Xenopus tropicalis: one gene and its partners. The protein of the gene in region 1 purifies or fractionates together with the protein of each later gene. This does not show direct contact. Links are inferred from orthologs where the notes say so. Each region holds a gene or a part of one and is shown in the gene's direction. Other genes may lie near its edges.

Region 1 (4,272 bases):
ATCAGTCCCTGCCCCAGTGAGCTTACAATCTAAGGTCCCTATCCCATTCCCATCAGTCCCTGCCCCAGTGAGCTTACAATTTAAGGTCCCTATCCCATTCCCATCAGTCCCTACCCCAGTGAGCTTACAATCTAAGGTCCCTATCCCATTCCCATCAGCCCCTGCCCCAGTGAGCTTATAATCTATGGTCCCTATCCCATTCCCATCAGTTCCTGCCCCAGTGAGCTTACAATCTAAGGTTCCAATCCCATTCCCATCAGCCCCTGCCCCAGTGAGCTTACAATCTAAGGTCCCTATCACATTCCCATCAGTCCCTGCCCCAGTGAGCTTACAATCTAAGGCCCCTATCCCATTCCCATCAGCCCCTGCCCCAGTGAGCTTACAATCTAAGGGCCCTATCACATTCCCATCAGTCCCTACCCCAGTGAGCTTACAATCTAAGGGCCCTATCACATTCCCATCAGTCCCTGCCCCAGTGAGCTTACAATCTAAGGGCCCTATCCCATTCCTATCAGTCCCTGCCCCAGTGAGCTTACAATCTAAGGGCCCTATCCCATTCCTATGCTTTGTTTACCTTGCCACGTTTCATAGCACAGATATTCTGGCCCTGAGGAATGGATATATTACAAGGCAGTAGAGGTAGAGGCACTTAGTATGTGTATAGGGTGCCCAGCACTACGGGGACTGGGGGGGGCATAGTATTGAAGCATTCAGCTGACTAACATGTGCCTTTTCTTTCCCCCTGGCAGATCTCAGTCACAGTGGTTTGGGAGACCATTATGAGAATTCCCACTGGGGACTGCAGCCGTCTCTCCGAGGTGAAGCCACTTGTAGCTGGGATAAAGTGATAATAGACAGGACTGACAAGGAAGCGTGGCCTTCCATTACTGGAACTGAGAGTGAATCTGCCTCAGAATGTACTACAGACACTGACTCTGCCTCCAACTGTGGCTCAGAGAAAAGTAGCATGGCTACTAGTGCCCAAGGCAACTTCACTGGACATACAAAGAAAACAAATGGCAATAATGGCGCCAATGGAGCACTCATCCAAAGCACTTCTAACCAGAGTGCCCTTGGAGCTGGTGGGGCAAATGGTAATGGGAACTTAGCCAGAGTTTGGGGTGTCGCTCCAGGCTCCAGCTCTGGCATTGCTCACTGCCCTATTGGTGGTGGGGATGGCAAGGTGGACAACATGATTGGGGAGAGCAGGAGTCATAACTGCTGGGGCGCTTCCAACCCAAATACTGGCATTAATCTTAACCTTAACCCGAATGCCAACCCAGCTGCCTGGCCTGTACTTGGACATGAAGGGACTTTGGGAGGCGGCAGTCCTTCCAGCATTTCAAGTCCAGTCGGTGCCATTGGACAGAACATGGGCAACCAGAATGGAAACGCAGCTGGTAGTTTAGGTGCCTGGAGGAACCTGCAGTCACAAGAGAGCACAGAACCACAAACGTCCAATTCTCAGAATGTGTCTTTCAGCGTACAACCTCAGAACCTTAACACTGATGGACCAAATAACACTAACCCCATGAATTCTTCACCAAACCTTATTAATGCAATGCAGACAAATGGACTGCCAAACTGGGGGATGGCTGTCGGAATGGGGGGCATCATCCCACCCCACCTGCAAGGCCTTCCTGGTGCTAATGGTTCAGTTTCTCAAGTCAGCGGGGCGGGAGGTGACGGCACGGGCAGCTCGGTGTGGGGGTTATCGCAGGGCGGCCCGTCTGTAGGAAGCTGCGGTTCAGGGTTCAGTCAGGAAGGAGGAGATGGCAGCTCTAAACAAAATGGCTGCGCAGTTCAGAAAGATGGCAGTGGAATGAGTGCATGGGATTCAGGACCACCTAGTAGCCCCGGGGTGCTGCCTTGGGGGAGAGGCAGAGGCAGCGTAGGAGGCATGCATCCCGGACCATGGGGTCATACTGGACATAGCACAAGTAACGGTGTGAACGGTGAGTGGGGTAAGGTCCCAAACCAGCATTCCAGCAATGACATGAATGGAAAAGGACCCACAGGGTGGGACAGCCCCAGCGTTGGCATGCAGAGCACCCAGCAGGGAGGTGAGCAAATGAATTCTAGGGCCAAAGCGGTTGCATCTGTCACTGCAGCCAACGACAGATGCACCGGCGCTGGGAATGCCAATGAAGGGAAGGGAGGAGATGGTCAGCAGGGAGACCCTGGGATGGCAGAGCAGATGCCAAGACAAGATCTTGACCCGAGAGTCCTTTCCAATACCGGCTGGGGACAGGTCCCCGTCAGACAGAATATTGCATGGGAATTGGAAGAATTTCAGCGTCCCGATCATAAAAATGTTGGGACGGAGGCCTGGGGGGGTTCAAATACTCAGCCTTCAAACTCAGGGGGAAAGAGTGAAGGGTCCATCATGAACAGTACCAATACCTCTTCAGTATCGGGGTGGATGAACACCCAACCTGTGTCTGCCCCTGTAAGTGCAAGCTGGGGAGAAAAAACGCCAAATGGTCCAGGGGGGTGGGGGGAACACGCAAGCTCTACTGTTGTCAATGCTGCTGCCAAAAGTGGTCACGCTTGGAGCGCGTCCGCTAATCAGGAGGACAAGTCGCCCACCTGGAGTGAGCCTCACAAGTCCAAACCCCAAGGGTGGGCCGACGGGCAAAAATCAAATCCAAGCTGGAGTTCTACGGGCGGAGACTGGACCGACGGGCCCCCTGTTCCTCAACACATTACCGACGGAAAGAAAAACGGGACAGGGTGGGACTCCGACAGTAAGCCTGGATCTGGGTGGAACGAGAACTCGCGGCCTGGGACCAGCGGGTGGGGAAATGGCACAAACACCAAGAATAATTCCGGTACAGGCTGGGGGGAGCCCATGAAAGCTCCTCAGCAGCAAAACTGGGCCAATAAACCCCAAGAGAACAATGTGAGTGGGTGGGGAGGAGCAGCATCTGTAAAACAGAATGGATCTGTGTGGATTGGTGGACCGGTGCCAGCAACACCACCAACCAAACAAAAGGATGCTGGAGCTGATTCCACCGGCTGGCAAGAGCCTTCTCCGCCGTCTATACGCCGTAAGATGGAAATAGACGATGGTACCTCAGCTTGGGGTGACCCGAGCAATTATATTAAAACTGTAAACATGTGGGATAGGAATAATCCGGTATCTCAGAGCATCCCTGCAACAAACACCAACTCCGCCGCCACTCCCAGCACCCCTCCAAATACCAATATGGTTGAACCTCAGCCAACTCATCAGCCAAGTGCCCAGCAGAACCGATCCCCACTGCTCGGTCCAGGTAGGTTGGCCATAACCACTTGTGTATGGAGTGGAACTAATTCTTAAGCATATTCTGCTCTCGTTGTGTTTCTGCATGCTTCAGACTCAAGCTGTTGCTGAACTACAACTGCCAGACTTATACTTATACTGAATATACAAGAGGGTGGCAGGTTGGCCAGCGTTGGTAGTGCTTAGGCTTTAGGCTCGGCATCCATTGCCTTTCTGCTCATTCTGGTGCTAACTCATACAGTCTACTCCAAGTACACTCTGTCTGCAAAGGGTTAATCTCCCCCAGTTCCTACAGAAGCGCAGTAGTGGGCACCCTATCAATGTCACCTCGGGGCTGGGAAAGCGCCGGCAGGATTAGACTCAGGTAGATCTCCTTATTCACATGCTGCCTCTTTGTTCTTAGCGGCTTAGGTGTCCTATTAAAGCTGTCTAAAATTGGAGTTGAATAATAAACATGGTAAGGAAGTCCGTGCCCACGAGATCACGTTTTCGTCAATGCCAGAGGCCACATTTAACATCAGTCTTAGCAGAGACCCACCCTTGGTACCCCAGAATCCTTAGGGATCTTTAAATCCTCTCTAGGGTATTGTCTACCTGACACCTCACATCTACTTTATAGAAGTTAGAGGGATCATGTAGTAATGGGCAAAAAGGTTTAAACCAGGTCTAGTAACCCATAGCAACCAAGTATTCTTTACTAATAAATATCTGGTTATTAGCATTGAGTATGAGGGCTCTCCATCTTGTAAGCACTTCAGCTGTTTATTTAACTGCAGCTCTCAGCATCCGGTGCACTGCCTAAAGGTGCCCATACACCTTCAGACCGCTTGCTTGGGGGATATCGGATCTTCTCCCGATATCCCCCACCTACGGGGGAATTTAGGCTATTTCACAACGGGTATAGGCAAAGTCGGTCCAGGGACTGCACCAACGAGCCGATGGGGTCCCCGATCCGACTAGATTTTCTAACCTGCCCGATCGAGATTTCAGGCCAGATATCGGTCGGG
Region 2 (4,805 bases), on another chromosome or scaffold:
TGTGAGTTTGTACAGAGGAACAACGGCATTCACTAGATTCTTCCAGGCTGTAACGGTGGGCAGGGTAGTGCCCATCCAATGCATTGCATGAAAGACATATTTTTAATGGTCAACAGCACGATCGTCTGGACCCAGTAGGAAAGTGGACTGTTGGCAGGGCCCAGCAGGGTGGAGGGTGAGTGGTGGCCAGAAGGTTGGGTGGTGTGCTGTCAGCAGGGTCTAGTGGGGAAGTCAGCCGGGCCTAATAGAGGGCATAAGCGCCATCTGACTGGGGACTGAATCAATGAGCCAATGCAGTTGCCAATCCGACGGGAAAATTAAACCTGGAGCACACAAGCAAAGAAAGGCTTCAGTTCCCTATCAGGTCAGCCTAGCTGCTGATTGGTTCCTATCCTACAGTGCAGTGTACGGAGGGCCGCCGGCTCCCCTGCACATCCAGAGAACTCAGCCAGCAGGAAGTGGAACAGATGGGTGGGGCTAGTGAGGTTTTTGTGGAATTTCTCAATAAAACAGTCAGAAACACAACTTTTTAAACACAATCCTTCTATATCTAGAGGATTATAATTCACTGGTACATTCTTAATTTTTATAGGATATGTCTCCTTTCAAAAGCTTATTGTTGTGCCCGCACCTGGGGCCATTGTGTTGGCCAAGTGCAGGAACACAAAGCAGATTTTGCCCCTTTTTTGCATGCTTGCGCTCAGCCTGACACAGAAAAAAAAAATATAACTATATTACTATACTATAACTATATTACTATATACTAGCGAGTGAATCTAAACGTGTATGGGGACCTTTAGAGCCCAAGATGCTTCAGATAAATAATGGACCTCTAATCAGTTCAATTTGTGAAATTAATTATGATTAGTGCTTTATCCTACAATTTCTTTAAACGTGGGACAAACAAGAAAAACAATAATGATGACAATTTCACATCCTAGTTTCAAGAAACCTTTTTGAGTTTAGATCTAATTGGGAAAAGGGGCTCTGAAGGCGACAGGTACTATTGGTAACAGGGGGAAACAAGTACTTCTCTTGAAGAAATTATCAGACCAAGTGGCAGCATGCACAGTGGGAAGCAAATATGAAACTTTTTTTTTTATTTATTTTCTTTTATCGTTCTCACACAAACGTATACAGAGTGAGAAAACCCTTATTCTTTTGATACAGAACAGACTGAGTTAAAGGAACAGTAACACCAAAAAATGAAAGAGCTTTAAAGTAATAAAAATATAATGCACTGTTGCCCTGCACTGGTAACACTGGTCTGTTTGCTACAGTAACACTACTATAATTTATATAATAAGCTGCTGTGTAGCCCTGGGGGCAGCCATTCAAGCTGGAAAAAAGGAGAAAAGGCACAGGTTACATAGCAGATAACAGATAAGTTCTGTAGAATACAATAGTGTTTTATCTGTTATCTCCTATGTGCCTGTGCCTTTTCTCCTTTGAATGGCTGCCCCCATGGCTACATAGCAGCTTATTTATATAAATTATAGTAGACTTTCTGAAGTAAACACACAGCTTTTACCAGTGCAGGGCAGCAGCACATTATATTTTAGTTACTTTTATACACTTTCATTTTTTGGTGTTACTGTTCCTTTAAGGCGATTTGCTCTTCCCACAAGGCGGCTGCGTCATGCGTCATTGCGCTTACGTGATTGTGACGCTAATCTCGCGTAATGAGATTTGTGGCTTTGGGATTTTCTGTGAGGTTGGAGGCTAGAACGCTTCAATAACGATTTTGTGGGAAGTGTAAGTAGCGATTCGAGAGTGCGGGCTACGTTAGGGGATTCGGGGCTGTTGGGCTGTGCGAATGCTGTGTAAGGGAAGGAACATGCAGGCACCCTAGCGATCGCCCTCGCCAAGTCCACAGATCACTGACAGTATGGGGGGCGGTAATTCAAGTAAACTCAACACGGTCAGGCCCACCTTAATACCCAAAATCCACCAGTGCCAGGGCTACTGTCCCACCTCTAGAGGCGGCCATGGGGAAATAGATGGGGTGTTAGAAAGCGTGTAGTAGAGAGAGATGACACCGCACTGACGATTAGTTTGTGTTTTATTTAGACCTCAGAACTCTACTCTGATCAGTAACACCACATGAAGGAGAGTGAATGTGTATAAAGGGATAGCACATTGGGCACTTGCTTGAAGTAAAGCAGAGTGAATGTGTATAAAGGGATAGCACATTGGGCACTTGCTTGAAGTAAAAGAGAGTGAATGTGTATAAAGGGATAGCACATTGGGCACTTGCTTGAAGTAAAGGAGAGTGAATGTGTATAAAGGGATAGCACATTGGGCACTTGCTTGAAGTAAAGGAGAGTGAATGTGTATAAAGGGATAGCACATTGGGCACTTGCTTGAAGTAAAGGAGAGTGAATGTGTATAAAGGAATAGCACATTGGGCACTTGCTTGAAGTAAAGGAGAGTGAATGTGTATAAAGGGATAGCACATTGGGCACTTGCTTGAAGTAAAGGAGAGTGAATGTGTATAAAGGGATAGCACATTGGACACTTGCTTGAAGTAAAGGAGAGTGAATGTGTATAAAGGGATAGCACATTGGGCACTTGCTTGAAGTAAAGGAGAGTGAATGTGTATAAAGGGATAGCACATTGGGCACTTGCTTGAAGTAAAGGAGAGTGAATGTGTATAAAGGAATATCACATTGGGCACTTGCTTGAAGTAAAGGAGAGTGAATGTGTATAAAGGGATAGCACATTGGACACTTGCTTGAAGTAAAGGAGAGTGAATGTGTATAAAGGGATAGCACATTGGGCACTTGCTTGAAGTAAAGGAGAGTGAATGTGTATAAAGGGATAGCACATTGGGCACTTGCTTGAAGTAAAGGAGAGTGAATGTGTATAAAGGGATAGCACATTGGGCACTTGCTTGAAGTAAAGGAGAGTGAATGTGTATAAAGGGATAGCACATTGGGCACTTGCTTGAAGTAAAGGAGAGTGAATGTGTATAAAGGAATAGCACATTGGGCACTTGCTTGAAGTAAAGGAGAGTGAATGTGTATAAGGGAATAGCACATTGGACACTTGCTTGAAGTAAAGGAGAGTGAATGTGTATAAAGGAATAGCACATTGGGCACTTACTTGAAGTAAAGGAGAGTGAATGTGTATAAAGGAATAGCACATTGGACACTTCTGTAAAGCAATTGGTTTAGTTGCCTGCAGCATAACTCTGAAAATACTCAGCAGTCGCACAATCTGTGCAATGGGTCAGAGAATAGATCAGCCCTGTGTCTTATATTGTCAGCAACAGGGCTATATGTGGTGGCACCAAGCTGTCGTGAAGTTACTTGAGCATTGGTGAAATTAGATTTGGGAAAGGTGCTGGCATTGACAGGGAACTCATTCCTCTAGAATAATTAGATACAGAAGTGGAAGTCACTGATACATCATTATAATTTTTTTTTAAGTGTCTAGTGTGGTAGGTCCAAGCCAATAGTGAATCATGTGCTTCCATACCTGCTTTTTATATGTACTCTCATAATAATTACTGTGTTTTTAGTATTTGGTTGAATTAAAATGCATTGCCAAGCTGCCTGACACTGGTCTGAGGGAGACCACCATCATTGTTGCATCGCCAAATGAGCCAAGTACTATAACTGTTTGTTCTCAGCTGCTCCCCACATCTCAAATGTTTTTATTTGGTGCAGAGATTGGCTTGTTTGTGTTGAGATCAGTGAACGTATTAACAGGAAAGTAGACATCATCCTTCCTTGGGGGGTGCAGGCAAGGGCCCTTCTAAAAACCTTGTTGTTTTTTTTTTACCCTAAAAGTGAACTTCCTATTTAAAAGCCTAAGTATTCTGAACCTTGCTTTCAGCCAAAATGTGTTATTGAACTTTTTCTGCTTGTTGTCTCAGGAACAAGAATTGGAACAAGCAAACACTGAAGGACCATCTTGTTAGACTGGATTAAAAGAATTTACTCACAAAGGAGTCATACACTATATCAGAGAAGATTCAAGAATGGCTGCAGACAAAGCAGGAGGTAGGTGTTCTTTTACTGTGATGTTGTACTGCTGGTTTTATTGGAACATAACACAAATCACTTGTGCGCACACAATCACTCTACTATAAATAGGCTTTGATGCATTTGTTAAGATGACTTTTTTAAATGTTTCAAAGTGTAATTTTTAAATTGAAAAACATTTTAAAAAATATTTCTGATGTACTATTTGAAAACCTATAAACAGAAAATAGTGCTTCGGAGGTGACTTACGCCCTTTAAATGAATTACTATTCCCAGTTAAGAAAGGACACTGTAACCACCTCACAGCACACCTGGGTGCATGCAACATGTGCAAAATTGTAACCCATGCAAAAAATATGCAATAATGCGCCCTTCCTTTTGATAACTCTGCCCCACATGTCAAAAGTTGGCATACTGGCAAAAGATGCAATGGCACTCAGGGGCTGTAAACGGGACAAGCCCTTTAAATCAAACTTTATTGTGGTAGTGCAATGTTTTGGGGCAAGGGGACCCCTTTATCAAGCAAGTTTATTAATATATAAATTATATATAAATATAAACAAAATGCCATGGTTTAAGAGTTGAGTTTTTTTTTGTATTCTTCATCAAAGTTAGAAAAGATCTATGTTAAGATATAAAATGCCCTTTGAATAATAGTCTAATGCCAACTGAGATATCAAAGCAGTAGAATAGATTAAACTGCTGAAATGTTTAATTTTTTTTCTTGCGGTTGAGGGACCTTAATGTTGCTTTTGTGCCTTTCATTAATCCAGTCACATTACACTTGCAGACTGAGATCTGTGGCTTGGTTATGTT
Region 3 (5,030 bases), on another chromosome or scaffold:
TGGCACTCTGCAGCTCCAACCTGGCCCAAGGAAAGTCTCCCATAGGGCTCAATGGCACTCTGCAGCTCCAACCTGGCCCAAGGAAAGTCTCCCATAGGGCTCAATGGCACTCTGCAGCTCCAACCTGGCCCAAGGAAAGTCTCCCATAGGGCTCAATGGCACTCTGCAGCTCCAACCTGGCCCAAGGAAAGTCTCTCATAGGGCTCAATGGCACTCTGCAGCTCCAACCCGGCCCAAGGAAAGCCTCCCATAGGGCTCAATGGCACTCTGCAGCTCCAACCCGGCCCAAGGAAAGCCTCCCATAGGGCTCAATGGCACTCTGCAGCTCCAACCTGGCCCAAGGAAAGTCTCCCATAGGGCTCAATGGCACTCTGCAGCTCCAACCCGGCCCAAGGAAAGTCTCCCATAGGGCTCAATGGCACTCTGCAGCTCCAACCCGGCCCAAGGAAAGCCTCCCATAGGGCTCAATGGCACTCTGCAGCTCCAACCTGGCCCAAGGAAAGTCTCCCATAGGGCTCAATGGCACTCTGCAGCTCCAACCTGGCCCAAGGAAAGTCACCCATAGGGCTCAATGGCACTCTGCAGCTCCAACCTGGCCCAAGGAAAGCCTCCCATAGGGCTCAATGGCACTCTGCAGCTCCAACCTGGCCCAAGCAAAGCCTCCAATAGGGCTCAATGGCACTCTGCAGCTCCAACCTGGCCCAAGGAAAGTCACCCATAGGGCTCAATGGCACTCTGCAGCTCCAACCTGGCCCAAGGAAAGTCTCCCATAGGGCTCAATGGCACTCTGCAGCTCCAACCCGGCCCAAGGAAAGCCTCCCATAGGGCTCATTGGCACTCTGCAGCTCCAACCTGGCCCAAGGAAAGTCTCCCATAGGGCTCAATGGCACTCTGCAGCTCCAACCCGGCCCAAGAAAAGTCACCATACTGAAGCTTGAATGAATCCGAATCTTTCGTACTCGGAGCGAAGGCTACGAAAAAGTTGCGACTCTTCGCACAAGTAGTAACGCTACGAAAAAAATCGCCAGATTTTGCACAACATTCGGAATGGCAACGAAAAAGTCGCAACAATTTTCCGAAAAATCGCCAAATACCGATCATTACGAAAAAAACGCAATCAGACGCATTCGGCCCGTTCGTGAGTAAGTAAATGTGCCCCTTGGTGTAGGCAAAGCGTTGCTGCTTCTTCTGCCTACCCCTAGTTCCAGCCCTGAATGCAAGGCACCCCTGCCTACAAATGTATAGGTAAAAATCAGTGGCCAGGGTCATCTAACCCTTTACATAATTAGTTACTTATTCATCAGACGGAATAAGAAACTATTACCCCCTTTGGTGCCAGTCTTCCTGCCCAGGCTTGAACAGGTTGCAGTTCAAGCATGGCAACACTGTCAATAAAAGTGGACTTTTAAATCTATGGCCCAAGATCATTTATTTATTTAAAACACCAGCTACTTATTCACCGACTGAATAAAAATCCAACTTTAACGCTGTGAAAAAGACAAAACATATTTAGAGGGCAACCAGGAAGTTAAAACGCAAAACGGGTAGGAGGGGCGTCACTGATTGGAGGAATAGGGACATGACGGAGAGATGCAAAGTTAGGGATTATCTGCAAATTAGTTTCTTACCAGACACCATACGAAACATACACCTTCTCAACTCATTCGTACTCCGTTTATACCAACTGTATATTTGTATCAGTAAGCCTGCCGCTTCATTATTTAAAAATCGGGCATTTATACTTTCTCAGGCTGGGATGCTTTGTGGTACAGAACTTTTTAATGCGCATTCCCAAAAGTTATGAAATTTGCAGACGATCCCTAATTCTGCAATCCCAACCTGCCTTTATTATTTGTTAGCCAATGACTGCTGCTGCTGCTTCCTTCCTTACGCTTCTCTGCAGGCTCCTCCCTCGTAAGCACACTGTTCCTGTTTGGGTTCGTTTCTTTATGGCAGATAGAGAGCTCTGTGCCTGCATCTTGGTGCTGCAGAGTAGCAGAGCATGAGAGAGCCAGAGTTGTGCTGTGTGCTTTAGGCGGGCAGAAAGGAAGGTGTGTATGCTATGCGATTATTATTTGTATATGTATGGCTCTTTGCACTGAGATGTTACACACAGGCACTACAATACCAATATGCAGAGTTTGCATTCGTAGAAACAAAAGGATACTGTTACGTACTGAGTAATGTCCACTCATACAGATATACAGAGTGTGGGATACAGAATGTGATGTTTATCAAGGATACCGAAATATGACTTGTTACTGATGTGATTTGGAAAGAGAGAGGCAAATATACAATTGATTGTATATTCAGACCTCTGAATAGTAAAACTCACAACCATAATAAGCATGCAGTGGCCCTCCTCCTCCTCCACCTCTTCTTCAGTTGATCTTTTATATGACTTTTGCTATATCTATTATTTTAAGTTGTGTGTGACTTATACCAAGGATAAATTCTTTACATATCAGAAAGTGTTACTGTTTTCTCTTCATTAGCCCACGGACCCTACTCCACAATCATCATGAATTTTGATGGCTTAGACCCTGCTTTGGCAGAGTATGCCCCAAGCCTGCATCCTCCTTTGGACCCAGTCCTTGATGCCCACTTGAACCCCAGCCTTTTGCAGACAGTGGAACTGGATCATGAAGCACTGGAAGGGCTCCCTGTAGCGGATCCTGTGAGCATGATGGAAGGAATGTACTCTGAGCTGCAGACAGCGGTGTCTGAGGTTGGAGTACCAGTTTCTGCTGTACACTTTGATCTTCATGAAGAGATGTTATGGGTTGGAAATCATGGGGTAAGGATTTATTTTTCTCTTGCACATTTGTATTATGTTTTCCTTTTTGTATTATCTCTTAGTATAATAGTAATGTAAAATACAGCCTTATCAGAGCTGTCAACTGGCAAAATTTCCCTGATACCCAGAAGTGATGTCACAGTCAGACTTCAGAAAAATCGGGGGATGGGAGAATGGGGAGAGCCTTTAAAAATGGATAACTCCCGAAGAAATAGGAGGGGTTGATAGCTCTGCCTTATACTTATCACTTCCTAATATCAAGATATTGGGTTTATTTCACTATTTATGCAGTCTGTCTACAGATTAACAGCCTTGCTGTACATACTGAACTGGCATCTATGTCCTCTTCATACAAGATCCATTGAAACACTCTGTAAATATATATGTGTATCTGTAGTTTTGGGCCTCTCCCTTTTACTAATGATTGTATGCTTACAGTCTAATTTAATTTCTGTAGTCTAGCCAATATCTAATTTTCATAAATATGGACTTAGATCACGCACACCACTGATCACGCCTTTATCAGCATGGGCATTTCTACTTTTCTGTTCCCAGCCTACACACCTTACCTCAAAATATTTTTGCACCAGGAAACCCATATGCATTATAAGTGAACACCTTTGCTTCAAAATATAAAGATATTTCTGTAGCCTATAAAAATTAGTGCATGACCTCTTTTGGTTCATGTCAGATCACTGACACAATAATTTGCAAGTGGGCTGTTAGCAGAGCCCCCCAGGCGGGCAGAGGGTGATATGCAAGGTTTTCATTTAAGCCTCCGCCTACATATGCAGAAAGCCCATTTTAGCATGATGCCTCACCATAACTCCATGTTTTGTATCTCTTTTCTGTAGGGCCATGCCACTTCCTTCTTTGGGCATGACCTTGAACGGTATTCCTCTTTCCAAGTACACGGCAGTAATGACATCCGTCAGATCCAGAGTCTGGAGAATGGGGTGATGTTCCTCACGAAAAATAATCTGAAATGCATGACCCGTGGGGGGCTTATAATCTTTGACTATCTGTAAGTTTGTAAATGGACACCTACTTTTTTAAATATTACTTAGTTACCTTTATTAATTTATATAACTTTAACCAAATCCACATATCCATGTCATCAAAATGTTCCTCCCCATTTTTTCTTTTCTGATGCATACTGCTGAGCTCACAATTTTCTCTGTTGCATGACCCATTAGTAATTCTTCTTTTAGAAATGAGTTTTTAAAGAACAGCTATTGTGGGGCTTCAGCCATCACTGGCATGGAAAGTTGGTGGACTCTGTGTGTGTATCCAGTGGAGTAATAATAGAGGAAGTAGACCTGCATCCTCCATTTTTCATGTAAATCCCCACTCCACGCCAGCTCCCAGTTAGGAAGTAGATGGATACAAACAAGTGCAGGAGGGGGAGGGGAACACGTTATAGCATAGGGATGATATGTAGTGATGATGGGACAGGAGGGAGGGGGGTTCATACTCTGCACCTGGCCCTTCTAAAGATTTACATTATATTTTATATGTTTGATCTAGTTATATTGATCTATATTATTTAGCTTATGTACAGTTTGGCTGTGAGGGCATATATTGACAAACACATGTTCTACCTATAAACTAGTACTTGCTCTGTGGTGTTCTCCTTTTGATACCCTAAAACAGGGGTAGGGAACCTATGGCTCGGGAGCCAGATGTGGCTCTTTTGATGGCTGCATCTGGCTTGCTGCTAAATTTTGAACAAAAAAAATAATGGGGGGGCGTGGCCTGCGCTCAGCGGATAGAAGAAGTGTTCTAAGCTTTAGAACATGTCTCCACATCGCATCCGGCATCCTTGGGACACACCCTACCTTGCCCCGCAGCATCCGCAGCCAAACATATTGTATGGCTCTCACGGAATTACATTTTAAAATATGTGGTGTTTATGGCTCTCTCAGCCAAAAAGGTTCCCGACCCCTGCCCTAAAAGGTACTGTATGTATCAACATCGCTATTTCGTATAATTTATTTCACAAGCATTATAAGAGGGTTTGGTAATTACCTGCAGGATGGATGAAAACATCGACAATCACAGTCTCCTGCTTACAGACAACAGCACTTTGCTTTTGGGAGGAATGCAGAACCATATTATTCAGATGGACCTAAATACAGTACAAGAGACGCAAAAGGTAAGCGAGAAATGGCATTTTATAACTTTTTTGTTTTTTCCTAATTTTTTCATTCTATTCATTACTAAATATTATATC

What was found.
Region 2: the proteins of tnrc6c (region 1) and cnot10 purify together in Homo sapiens (co-immunoprecipitation; 3 studies listed by BioGRID and IntAct, with this or other methods). This does not show direct contact. The link is inferred for Xenopus tropicalis from reciprocal best matches to the Homo sapiens genes TNRC6C and CNOT10.
Region 3: the proteins of tnrc6c (region 1) and pan2 purify together in Homo sapiens (affinity purification with western blotting; 3 studies listed by BioGRID and IntAct, with this or other methods). This does not show direct contact. The link is inferred for Xenopus tropicalis from reciprocal best matches to the Homo sapiens genes TNRC6C and PAN2.

The regions. Positions count from the first base shown.
Region 1 is NC_030686.2:45,710,043-45,714,314, reverse strand, and holds part of tnrc6c (trinucleotide repeat-containing gene 6C protein), read left to right. Parts: intron 1-749; coding exon 750-3,275; intron 3,276-4,272. UniProt on the Homo sapiens protein: Plays a role in RNA-mediated gene silencing by micro-RNAs (miRNAs). Required for miRNA-dependent translational repression of complementary mRNAs by argonaute family proteins.
Region 2 is NC_030682.2:50,188,576-50,193,380, forward strand, and holds the start of cnot10 (CCR4-NOT transcription complex subunit 10), read left to right. Parts: upstream 1-1,648; 5' UTR 1,649-1,755; intron 1,756-1,803; exon of another isoform or gene 1,804-1,823; intron 1,824-1,902; exon of another isoform or gene 1,903-1,921; intron 1,922-3,880; 5' UTR 3,881-3,985; coding exon 3,986-4,007; intron 4,008-4,805. UniProt on the Homo sapiens protein: Component of the CCR4-NOT complex which is one of the major cellular mRNA deadenylases and is linked to various cellular processes including bulk mRNA degradation, miRNA-mediated repression, translational repression during translational initiation and general transcription regulation.
Region 3 is NC_030678.2:138,019,182-138,024,211, forward strand, and holds the start of pan2 (PAN2-PAN3 deadenylation complex catalytic subunit PAN2), read left to right. Parts: upstream 1-1,873; 5' UTR 1,874-2,051; intron 2,052-2,495; 5' UTR 2,496-2,521; coding exon 2,522-2,797; intron 2,798-3,651; coding exon 3,652-3,821; intron 3,822-4,831; coding exon 4,832-4,952; intron 4,953-5,030. UniProt on the Homo sapiens protein: Catalytic subunit of the poly(A)-nuclease (PAN) deadenylation complex, one of two cytoplasmic mRNA deadenylases involved in general and miRNA-mediated mRNA turnover.